Linked DNA regions of Callithrix jacchus. The protein of the gene in region 3 interacts with the protein of the main gene of each other region in a pairwise test. Links are inferred from orthologs where the notes say so. Each region holds a gene or a part of one and is shown on either strand. Other genes may lie near its edges.

Region 1 (3,648 bases), about 140 Mb from region 3:
CATATTCTCACTTATAGGCGGGTGATGAACAATGAGAACACATGGACACAGGGAAGGGAGTACTACACACTGGGGTCTATTGGGGGGAATAGGGGAGGGACAGTGGTGGGGGAGCTGGGGAGGGATAGCATGGGGAGAAATGCCAAATGTGGGTGAAGGGGTGAAGGCAGCAAAACACACTGCCATGTATGTACCTATGCAACTATCTTGCATGTTCTGCACATGTACCCCAAAACCTAAAATGCAATAAAAATAAGTAAATAAATAAATGTACATTACAAAATTACATATATTTGTAAAGGGGGAAAATTAAAATTACAAAAGCATGAAATATATCTTTTATTATATAAAATATGACAAATATTTATAACACATAACAAATATAGCATTTTATTATGCAAACTCACTTTAAGGTGAAAAGAAGATTAGGATTTCTTTCAAGTAAACTTGGGTATAACTGTTGTGTTGTTTCAATGGCTTCTCCCATTCTTCCTGCTAATACCAATTTCTGAATTCCTATTCAGTAATAGAAAGCAAACGATTAACTTTTACAAAGGTAGGTAAAACATAAACTTAGTGGATCCTCAGAAAAGGGAGTTAGTAAAAATCTGCAAATAAATTATGATTAATTTCTATTTCTTTTTCTAACATCATAGTTTCCATTAGGCAATCCAGGAAACATTTCAGACATACTAAAAAATTAGAAAAAAACATACTGTCACAAATTAAAAAAAAAAAATCACAAACACACAAGTAATATAATTAAAACACATATTATGCAATACTGAAGTTTCAAACACAGATTAAAAAGACTATGTTTTAAAGAGATAATAAAATGCTTTATCAAATATGACTTTCTGAACAAAAGACTAAAAAAATGCTAGCTTTTGAATAAGATTCCAATTTAACAGAGATTCACTGAGCATTCACTTGATCTGACCTTTTTTAAATTAGATGAGGATACAAAATGAGTTAAGTGATCTCTGTTCAACAGAGCTTATTAAAATAGTAGAAAAGGATAGCACACAATTAACTACAATACAATGTAATCAGTGCTATTACAGCGATTTGATCTATGAAACGGTTGTTTTCATCCACCTATTTCACCCATCTGTTTTGTTTTCATCCCCCTCTTGTCAAGTCATACCAACCCTGATGGAATACAGCACCAATTTTAGGATGGCTAACCATGGAACAGTTATGCTAACCTGCCATTGTTATTATAGGGCCTGTTTTATCTTTGGCCACACAGGCCAGCACTAGGATCTAAATAATAAATACGTATGATCAATACTATCTTATATTAGATAGCAACTTAAATTCAAAGATACTTACCTTTCTTTCACATATTATCTCCTCCAACTAATCAGAACTACTTATTTTTAAAAAATTTTAGTTTTTTTCTGAAAGTTTAAGAAAACATTCTTTTAAGAAAAAAATGGTAAAGACATTCCTTACGAAAATTTCTGCAAAATCTCTCTAGAATTAGAATTCTGACACAGACCTATGTGAATTTTTAAGGCTGATCTTCAAAAATGTCAGTGAAAATAAAATTCAGAGGCATCCATTTTAAATATACTTGAAATTATTTAAATTAAGAAAATAAAATTTCTAAAAATTAAAGCAACCCAATCTATAATCTGAAAACAAATGTTAGCATGCACCACAGTGTCCTTACTTTGTCTATTCTTAATGGAAGCTAATTCTTCTAGAACGGTCTGGTCTGTAGATCTGGCAAAGGCCTCTGCTGTGGCACAGTACCCATGGTGGACTAAATAAGATGAAACCATTCTTAAAATAAAACAGAAGAAACATACATCTTTTAGTGAAGAGAATACATGCTTCATACTACAATTTACATAAACAAGGTCTACTCTGGTGTTACAAAAACGAACCTATTTTCTTGAAACAAGGTGTTGTTAAGAACCTCACCTTTAAAGTAAGCTTTTGAAAAACATCATTTGTTGTATTCATGTAGTATTTTCAAAAAGATAACGGAAATCCCATATTGAGAGTACCCTCCTAAAATAAATATTACTTGAGAATCAAGGACATTAAGTGACCTTTTTTTTGATTCTTAGATTATCATTACCCCCAGTTCCCTTCCTATCCTATTATTCAGCCCTACTAACCGTAATTTTCATTTTGCTTTTATTATATGACTTATTCCAGTAATTGCTGGCATTCTGTAAAATAATCAACTTTAAAGTAAAAGATTAAATGTTAACGTTCCAAAGTTTGATAATTTTCTTTACATACCAGTTAAATAAGATGGGATCACAAAGTAAGTACAGAATACTAAGGTGAATCCAGAACAATGTCTATAAAGCCTAGTTAAAGGAAGAACCAGCCTTCTAGTCTAAATCAATTACTATGGTTTGCCCAAGAGATTTATCAAATATGATTTACATGTAAGTGACATATTTCCAAGACAATAATCTTTTTAAAAGGTACCAGGTAGTCAAAACATGTATCTACCACCCACAAAATGTGGTTAGAAAAACTGGTGATCCAACAATATTAACCCAAGTATCTGTTATCTCCAAACATTCAACTCTTAAACCTGCCTCCATCTGACACTACACAGGCTAGTTAGAAAATGGTGGGAAGCAGTGGTTCACCAGGAGGAGACTGAGGAGAAGTGGAGAGGAAGCAGGGAAAAAAGTCTAAGAAACAAATCTGCATCTTATTTTATCCAATTGTTCAAATTAATTTAAGAGGGAGGGGACCTTTTAGAATGGACTTCTCAAGAGTTCATGGTAAGTAACAATTCAGTGAAGAAGTGGGAGGATCCTGGCTGTAAGATTAAAATCAATGTTTTCTATGACCCTGCCATGACGCTCAGTGAGAGCATTAAAACAATGTGGCGCCAGAACAACCCAACCTAGAGCTTCAGCTCATGGTGACCATGGGATTCTGCATCAGGGTTGTCTGTTCTCTGAGCTGGACAGAAAAACGAGTGTTCAAGCTCTGTAATACAAATGATTGTAGTTCTAGGGAAGAAGTGTGCTTTCACAGTCATCATCATGTCTCTTAATCACTGCCTTTTCTAACAAAATACCCCCAAAATTTTATGACAATTTTAAAGTTAAGAATATTCAAAGCAATTATAAGGACATTTAAGATGACATGTGTTAGACCAATTGCATCTGAAAGTCTGCTATTTTCTTGGCTTGGATTATAATAGTGAAAAGGACTTTTTAAATTTAATGGTATTTATTAAAAATTTAAGTCTATACTTATACTGCTGTTAGTTCAAATATTAAGAGCTTGGGCATGGCCAAGTTCATGTCCAAAAACCACAGATCCTAATTATAAAATCTAGATTATCTCTCAACTTTATCTTTTGCATTAACATTATTAAAAGTTAAATTGTGTAACGTACAGAAATCCTATTACTAAGAAAAGCAAATGAATTAACCTAGCCTAGATGACCTATCATTTTATTTCCTCCATCCAATTAATTCAGACAGAAATACAATTCTATATGTGTCATCAATTGTTTTTAATTTGTTTAGTGGAGTAAATTACTTTTTGTTGAGAGAATAAAATCAGTAACATTGTAGAGATATTAGTATATAAACTGATTAAAAAGTTTCCATGAATACCAAAAGAATAAATGTCTTATAAAAAATATATTCTGAATAA
Region 2 (4,079 bases), on a different chromosome or scaffold from region 3:
AGGCAGCGACACAGCAGGTGCACCAACTCCAGCAGGTTAAGCACCAGGGAGATGAGTCCAACCACCAGCATGAAGATGATGAAGATAGTCTTCTCCGTGGGGCGAGAGACAAAGCAGTCCACGAGGTAGGGGCAGGGCGCTCGCTGGCACACAAACACAGGCTCCATGGTCCAGCCATACAGGCGCCACTGGCCATAGAGGAAGCCTGCTTCTAGCACGCTCTTGCAGAGCACGCTGGCCACATAGGTGCCCATCAGTGCTCCACGGATGCGCAGGCGACCATCTTCTGCCACCGAGATCTTGGCCATCTGACGCTCTACAGCCGCCAGTGCCCGCTCCACCTGTGGGTCCTTGGCCGGCAGTGCTCGCAGCTCTCCCTCCTTCTGCCGCAGCCGCTCTTCTCGCCGAGAGAGGTAAATGACATGGCCCAGGTAGACCAGGGTGGGCGTGCTGACGAAGAGGAACTGCAGTACCCAGTAGCGGATGTGGGAGATGGGGAAGGCCTGGTCATAGCAGACGTTGGTGCAGCCCGGCTGGGCCGTGTTACACTCGAAATCTGACTGCTCGTCACCCCACACTGACTCGCCGGCAAGTCCCAGGATAAGGATGCGGAAGATGAAGAGCACTGTCAGCCAGATCTTGCCCACCACGGTGGAGTGCTCCTGGACCTGGTCCAGCAGCTTCTCGAGGAAGCCCCAGTCACCCATGGCTCCTGGGCCTCCGTCTGCAAGGAGACAGAGCGTGTCAGCATGTCAGCATGACATTCTTCTCGTTTGCCCAGCAACAAGAAGGGAGGTCTGCCTCACCCGTCCTACCTACAAAGAAACCCAGGCTCAGGAAGGGGAAGGACCAGCCTGGGGGCTCCTACTCAGCAGTGCAGGCAGGACTCAAAGCAGATTTCTGGATGATGGCTGCCAACCTCTTTGCATGGTATCATTCTGCTATGGCTAAGGGCTCTGCCTAATCACACATCTATGTCCCTCTTGTCCCTGAGCCACCGCCCCAGGATGGCCACAGGCCAAGGAAATCTGGGTGGAGTTGAGGCTCCTTTGCCTATGGGAACAGAATTTGAGGAACTTATCCAAGGCTATGCAGCTGGGCTATGCCCTTCCTCCCTTTTGCCCAAGTTTGGCTACCCTCAGAGAGCGGGGCTGGTGCTGTTGGTAGAGGTGTTATCTTCTGCTTCTTGGGGGCTCAAAGCCTCAGGTCCTTGCTCCCAGCTTCATATCTTACCCAGCTGGCTTTATTCTAATCTTTGAGCCACAGGGGATGGGAGGAGGAAGAGTTTTTAGAAGCTGAAGGCAGCAGCATCCTTTAGCTCCACCTGTCAGCAATAATGACCATGGTCTTCTTCCTCCACCTCCACTCCCACCTCCTCCCCCCCAAAGCTGATGCTGCCAAATTCTAGACTCTTGAAAGGAATCGTCACAGCAGGGTGAGGCACAGGCCACAGAGTTCCCAAGGGGGAAGTGCCTCTTCCCAGGTGCAAAGCTGTTCGAGCCAGGCTCTGGAAGCAGCCCTGGGTTCAAATCTTGGCTTTTAGTAACTGCGGCCCCTTGGATAAGGAACAAACCTCTGGGCGCCTCAGTCTCCTCCACGGTAGCGTGGAAACAATAGTATCCCCACCGCCTCCAGTTGTTATAAGGATTCCACGGAAAGAGGGTGGGAGCCTGGCCAAGGCCACCTGGGTGAGCGCGGCTCTGTAGTTGCTGCGTTCCGCAGCAACCCCCGTCCGGGCCTCGGAGGACCCAAGACTCCGCCCGGCCTCCCGCGAGCAGGTGGCGTCCCCGGTCCCCTCCTACCTCGCGACTCACCGCCTGCCTGCCGGGCGGCCCAGGTGGAGGTGGGGACGGTGGCCGGAACGGCGCCCGCGGGAGCCCTGCAGGACCGCGCGGGCGGCGGGGGCGCCTTAAATAACGCAGAGGGGCGGGGTGGGGGCAGGAAACGTGACGGGGAGGGCGGCGGGCGCTGGAGAGAGGGCGGGGGCGGGGACAGGGAGGTGCAGACTCCCTAAACCCACTCTGGGGAGGTGGCCCTGTGATTTGGGGTGGGGGCAAGAGGGGCTGACCTACCCCTCCTCTCCTCCGTTCTTTCTCCACCAGGTATTCCAGACGGTAAACTCTCCTTCTGTAGTTTCTTTGGCGGGGGAAGGGGAGTTCTCCCAGGCCAGGATCTCTCAGGGTGGCTGGTTTTGAAAGGGTTGCGGTAAAAGCTGTTGATCTGGGCTACTGGCCTGGGGGCCTGTGAGGGTGGGCGGATGGGGCTGGGGTGTGGGGACCCCTCATTTGCTAGGTGGCTCTAGTGTGCCAGGATGAGGTGATCCAGGCTGATTATGGCGTGGAGAGCCACAACGGGGGACAGGGGTTGTAATTCACACTTCCAGCATCTGTGGTAGAGCTGGGGTCTCTGCCTACACCTAGCCCTTGTCCTTCCAGAATTCTCAAACATCTCCATGCCTGGGCAGGCTTCACAATCAGAGGCCATTAAGCAACTCCCATGGACTCCTTGAGACAGGGGTGGGGGGGGTGGGGGGGTGGGGTGAGGTGGGGGGTGGGGGGGTGGGGGGGGTGGGGAACCGCCTGACCTTTAGCTTAGACTCCATTCTCATGCCTGTAAATGGTGGCCGGGTGGTGCAGGGACATCCCTAGGAATGAAGGGGCTACATAGAGCCAGCATTCAGGCATCACAGGTGGATGAACATCAATGAGGGTCTGCTGTGCTGCAGATGCTGCATGGGGACCCGGGATTACCATGATGAACCAGCCAAACCTGCTCTCTGGCCTCCTCCCTCACTGGCTGCTGGTGCAGGGACTGAGCATATCAGCCCTTGGATAATGGTAAAATGATAAATGTGGGAAGTTCTCCTGAGAGGCACTGGATGATTCCCAGGGGACTTGGTTAGGAACATTTCCTGGAGGAGAGGAAATGCCCTTCCCTCTCCATTAGCCAAGTGGAGGGGATGAGCATTCTAGGTAGAGAGGCAGCATGAGCGTGGCTCTAGGGCCTGGAGCTGTGGGGTCCCGAGATGGTGGCCACTACCCTCAGTGCTGAGACTTTGTTGGTGGCTGAGCCCAGGAGTTGAGACTTTGCTGTTGACTCCTGTACCCTTAGGAAAGTTACTCAAATCCCTGTGCCTCAATTTCTTCCTCTACAGAATGAGGATAGTAATAGAATCTACTCTGTAGGGTTGATGGCATATAGTGTGTACCATCATCAAAGCACATCGTGTAATGGTGGTAGATAAAGTTTTTCAAGTGAGTGGAGGCTAAAAACATTGTGATACTGTAACAAAAAGGACCTGTTGGTTGTTCTTGGAGGGTGGCAGGGGCTGGCACAACTGAGGAAAGGGAAGGTGGCAGGGGGCTACTGGCGGGGCGGGGGATGCTGGTGGCGCAAAAGTCCCTGTTCCTCCAAAACAGGATTCAGTCCTTGGATTCCCTGGGCCCCAGGGCTGGGTCCCTGAGGGTTCTGTCTTCAGAACAGAGGACGTCTTTGGCAGGGAGTGGGGACACTCAGACCTGAGAACTTCAGGGATGGCTACTTCTGGGGGGGTCCGGCTGAGCTGGCTTCCCCTCTAGGCTTCTTCCTCAGGGCCAGGCTGAACTGAGTCTCCTGGATTTCTGAAGCTAACAACTGCCCCACTTAGTTCTGACCCTTGAGGGCATGAGAACCAAGGCTCCTGAAGGCTGGTTCTCACCACGCCCCCACTGCAGCTCTGCTCGCTCCCGAGTTTCTCTCCTGGGGCTGGCCCCAGCTCTCCCAAAGCCTTTCTAATTCAGTCTGCTGGGAAGAGGGAGGAGCAAGGGGAGGGCTGGGGAGTGACGTCAAGGCTGCCCTCACCCTGCTCTGACCTCTTCCTCAAATTAGGAGGTTCGAATAACTTGGTCTCTTCCCCAGAGGATGAAGAAGCTGGGATCAACCAAGACAACAGTTACCACAACCTGGCCTTTCCACCTGGGAAACGTCCCGGGAACCCCACATTTCCCTGCATTCCCACTGCCCTGGCCCTGCTCAGGCTGCCACCACCTCAGTGGCCTCCCAGCTGCTCTCCTGGCCTCTGGCCCCACCCCTTCAACCAA
Region 3 (4,148 bases):
AATCCCCAGATGCTTTCCCTGTCACTTCATCTGTCACTAACCTGCCCATTTTTCTGTTTCACGGTCACATTCTGAGAGGATTACCTGACCCTGCAATTCAAACCCAGTCTGCCACAGGTGGGTGTCTGGGATGACCTTTCAAATAGTACTGTATTTTGTAAGAACTTTCAGTACTGAGAATAAAGCATAATATCATGTTCTCAGTAAGATGCACTGTCACCATCTTTCTCCAAGTCAACAAGAGGCCAGAGGTAATGCCTTTAAAACTAACTCACCCAAATCTCTTCTATACTGGAAGAAGACCTATCTGCTCATTTCACAGCCAGTTGCCAGTCTATTGGCTCTCTCTGTATATGAAAGCATAAATTAATGAGGAGAAAAATGAGGAAGGAAAATACCAAGGAGAAGCAATAAAAAGGAATAAAATATTATGTTTCTGATGGCAGGATTCCTAGATGCTTTGGTAATTTCTGTTTCATGCTTTTTCCCTCCAGGATTCCATACAGAATTTGGGGATCATTTGCTATTCCCAAGTTATTATTGCTATATCAATCCACTCTGTCAACCTAATAGTTGAATTAACTCAAATCATGATTTGCCAGCATAATAAACTCAAAATTACATTAGCTGGGAAAGATTCAATGGCAATGAATTAATGAACTATCTGTTCTTGGAGAAAATCATTTACATGTTCTGTTCCTCAGTTTACTTAGCACACATAATTTCTAGAGTCCCTTGTACCTTGATTAGTTTATGATTCTATGAAATTCTTATAGAACAAATGAGAAATATATTTTCTTTTCACAAAGCAGGCCTTTAATTATAACTTTGTCATCATAACTGCAGAGTGAGACTTGGTTTTTAATCTTTAATGTGAATCATTGTATTTAATTACTTAAAGTAAATGTTTTTAAAAATAAATTCTTCCATTTATCTTCTCACATTTTTCCTTCTGTTGTTAGCCTTCCTCTCAATAGATGGTGCTCTTTTCTCAGAGACAATACTTATCTTATTCCTCATGAAAAGATCAGAGAAATTAGTTTTATTCTTTAAAAATCATTAATTAAAGAAATCAGACACATGAGTGGAAAGAATTGCTTACAAGCAATTTGCAGCATCTTGGTAATAAAAGCATACCAGGGAGAGCAATTGTTAAATGATTTAAGAGCTCCTCTCAAACCTGCAATACTTGCTGAATAGGTGAAACAAATATTGTAACTAAAAGTGAAAATGCCATGTTCTCTACATACACATACCCCTGGTTAAAAACAAAAAACAAAAAACATCTATCTAGGAACCATTTTAAAGTGTTAAAATATTATTCTTCTTTAACAAAAACAGATACATGCCATTTCACATTCACATGTAGTATTTGAATATACAGGTAAACACCAACACAATCAGCATCAATCACAATCAATATTGAGAGCTTGCACACTCTGCCAAATATAGGTGGAACATCTAGGTAAACAGAAAGTGGACCACAATTCTTTTGAATTAATTTTACCTGATAAGAACACTTTGTTTACAGCACCATCACAACTTCCTGTATGAGAGTTTCTGTAGTTTCTAATGTGGAATTATGGTGCTTTTGGTGACTCCTAATTAACTCCAACTTGTGGAGGCATTGAAATACAGCCATGCCCTGCGGTTCTCCTGAACCATCCTACCCATTCCAGATGCAGTTTGTGACTTAGGCGATCTGAAGCTACCAACAGCAAACTAATCTAAGCAACACAGCTGTCATGTTTGTTATAAAAGAGCAAAACTACCATGGAGAGATGCCAGGAAAACTTCCTTTATCTAGTGTTGCCTCAGGATGAAAGGAAGAGTTAGTTAAGGGCTGCTACAGCAGGGGAGGAGGAAGGGTGGGGTTGTGGTACAGGGAAGTACTGAACCAGCAGAAGTAGGAAAGTTGCCAGGGTTCATCTCAAAACAACTGAGAAGACTTGCAACCTACCACCCACTCCAACCCGCCCCTCAACCAAATTTGGGAAAGCTAACTAGAATTTCTAGAATTTCTCTGTCATTTTTCACAACTTACTCTTTCCATAGCTCCTGCAGAGGGACTGAGTGTAGGACTCTGACAAGAGCCCTCTTTGCTCAGAATAAGGAAGAGCTCTAAGTCTACACTTATCTTCACCCCCACCCCTAGACCTTTGTAGCTTTTACCAAAGCAACTTCTCTGCTTCTGAAATTTTGGAGTATTTCTGTAGCAATTGGGGAAATACAGAAGTAGCAATCACTGTCCATGGTCGCCTCTAGAGTTTCCCCGGTTTACCTCCCCTCTTTCATCCTCCCGCCCAAGATTGAGCCCTGGGGGTCAGGTGTCTCTTTGTACCCCCATGAGCCTCTGAATCCTCCACTTGGAGCCCCTTCCTTACCTGACAATCACATACATGACCAGGAAGTTTCCGAAGAGCCCCACCACGCACACGATGGAGTAGAGGGCCATGATGGTGATGGCCGTGATCATGGAGGGGCTGCCAGTCGGAGGGCAAGGGCTGTCGCTCCCTCCCAGGTCGGTGCGGTTCGGACCGCAGGGGTCGGACAGGTTGCCATCTAAGTGGGACAAGTTGACCCAGGAACCAGGGCTGGGCGCTGGGGAGCAAGTTGAGGGCGCCAAGGGATCAGTGCAATTGCCGGCATTCGCGGGGACTGCGCTGCTGTCCATGGTGCTGACGGTCGGCCGGGCACTGCGGTGCGAGGTAGCCAGGAGCACTAGGACTTTTCGGGTTCCAAGCGCCTCAGCTGCTTCCTTTCGCCGCTGCCACAGCTCTTGCTATTTCTTACAGAGGCCAGTCCTGGCGGAGCCAGAGAGGAGCGTCAGGCGGAGGGGACCGAGCTGAGCATCTGACATTCTCCTCTGCCTATAGCCCCCTCCCACCTTAGTAGTTCACGGAGGCTCATCCCCGACCCCAGGCGGCTGCGGGAGGGGAGGGTGGGCCAAGAGGGATTTGGAGGCTGGAGGGGAGGGAGGAGAGAAAAGGGGTGGATTTTGCGCAAAGCGATCCAAGGAATCGGTCTCCTCACTGGACACTCTTCCGTGCAAACACATCTAAGGGAGGGAGAGAGAGAGAAGGACTGGGGAGAGAGACAGAGTTAGTTTTTGGCAGCAGTGAAAATAAGAAAGGGGGCTAACATCACTCTATTTTCCAGCTCTTTTTTCTCCTTATAATCTGGCAGGGAATACATTGGCTTGATGAAACCCTAACAACCCTGAAACCCCAATGCTCTTTCATCCCTACTGACAATTTTGACTATTTGAGAGTAGGGGACACACAATCTTCTTTTGCAGTCCTTGTTGCTAACATCTAAGAAACGGTAATAATGTTTTTCCAATTTTCTTCCCAACCAACCTGCTGGAAACAACAGCGATCCTCTATTTTCTGAAAAAGAAATGAGAAACAAATAAACTTTTGCGGAGAAAACCTGTTCCCCGCTTTCCCCAGTTTCTCTTAGGGTGAAGTTCTGTTTGCCTCTGATTTTGTCTTAGTGGAGAAGAGGAACAAGAACTGGTTACGGAAATCAGAAGTTTGTGGCATCCAGTAAAATCAGCTAAAGATAATGTTGATCTTTCACATCTTAAATCTCATAGACCTGTTTGGAATTATTTATCCTTGTTAACCCCAGACTTTCTCGATAAGCATATGCTTCTGAGAAGAAGGTTGTTAACACCAAACAAAATTTGCATTCAGTCTGTTTGCTAGTGTAGAAAGTCTAGGAAGAGCCACATAGCATATGGAATTAGAGTGGCCTACAATAAAATCCTTGAGAAGCATGGATACGTTTTTGAATTTTATACCTTACTTTAGAAGTGAGGTATCAAAAAAGAACTTACTCTTTGTATTTACAAATTTGTTTATAAATTAGAAGTCCACCAGTGCTTCTATTTTATAAAGAAATTTGTAAATTCAAAGAGTAAGTTCTTTTTTTGTAAAGTTAACACCAATTCTGAAGTAATTCTCATTTCTGTATGTGTCTATATTTGTGCATGTGTCTATCTTTTAACCATATACATTGAAAATACATATTCCCAGTTGGTCTTGAAAAGCGAACTGCACTCTTGGGAAGCATGGAGGGAAGACCTTGAAAGGAATATTTAATTCCACTATTATTTTTAGGCATTTAGCTTAGAAACAGGTAAC

The links.
Region 1: the proteins of OPRM1 (region 3) and RANBP9 interact in binary tests that used the Homo sapiens proteins (3 or more experiments, as listed by UniProt). The link is inferred for Callithrix jacchus from reciprocal best matches to the Homo sapiens genes OPRM1 and RANBP9.
Region 2: the proteins of OPRM1 (region 3) and GJA4 interact in binary tests that used the Homo sapiens proteins (3 or more experiments, as listed by UniProt). The link is inferred for Callithrix jacchus from reciprocal best matches to the Homo sapiens genes OPRM1 and GJA4.

The regions. Positions count from the first base shown.
Region 1 is NC_133505.1:17,024,119-17,027,766, reverse strand, and holds part of RANBP9 (ran-binding protein 9), read right to left. Parts: intron 1,792-3,648; coding exon 1,679-1,791; intron 517-1,678; coding exon 408-516; intron 1-407. UniProt on the Homo sapiens protein: May act as scaffolding protein, and as adapter protein to couple membrane receptors to intracellular signaling pathways. Acts as a mediator of cell spreading and actin cytoskeleton rearrangement.
Region 2 is NC_133508.1:71,355,322-71,359,400, reverse strand, and holds the start of GJA4 (gap junction alpha-4 protein), read right to left. Parts: upstream 2,814-4,079; 5' UTR 2,073-2,813; intron 1,884-2,072; exon of another isoform or gene 1,574-1,883; intron 1,385-1,573; exon of another isoform or gene 1,137-1,384; intron 727-1,136; exon of another isoform or gene 725-726; 5' UTR 708-724; coding exon 1-707. UniProt on the Homo sapiens protein: One gap junction consists of a cluster of closely packed pairs of transmembrane channels, the connexons, through which materials of low MW diffuse from one cell to a neighboring cell.
Region 3 is NC_133505.1:160,798,300-160,802,447, reverse strand, and holds the start of OPRM1 (mu-type opioid receptor), read right to left. Parts: upstream 2,866-4,148; 5' UTR 2,675-2,865; coding exon 2,385-2,674; intron 1-2,384. UniProt on the Homo sapiens protein: Receptor for endogenous opioids such as beta-endorphin and endomorphin. Receptor for natural and synthetic opioids including morphine, heroin, DAMGO, fentanyl, etorphine, buprenorphin and methadone.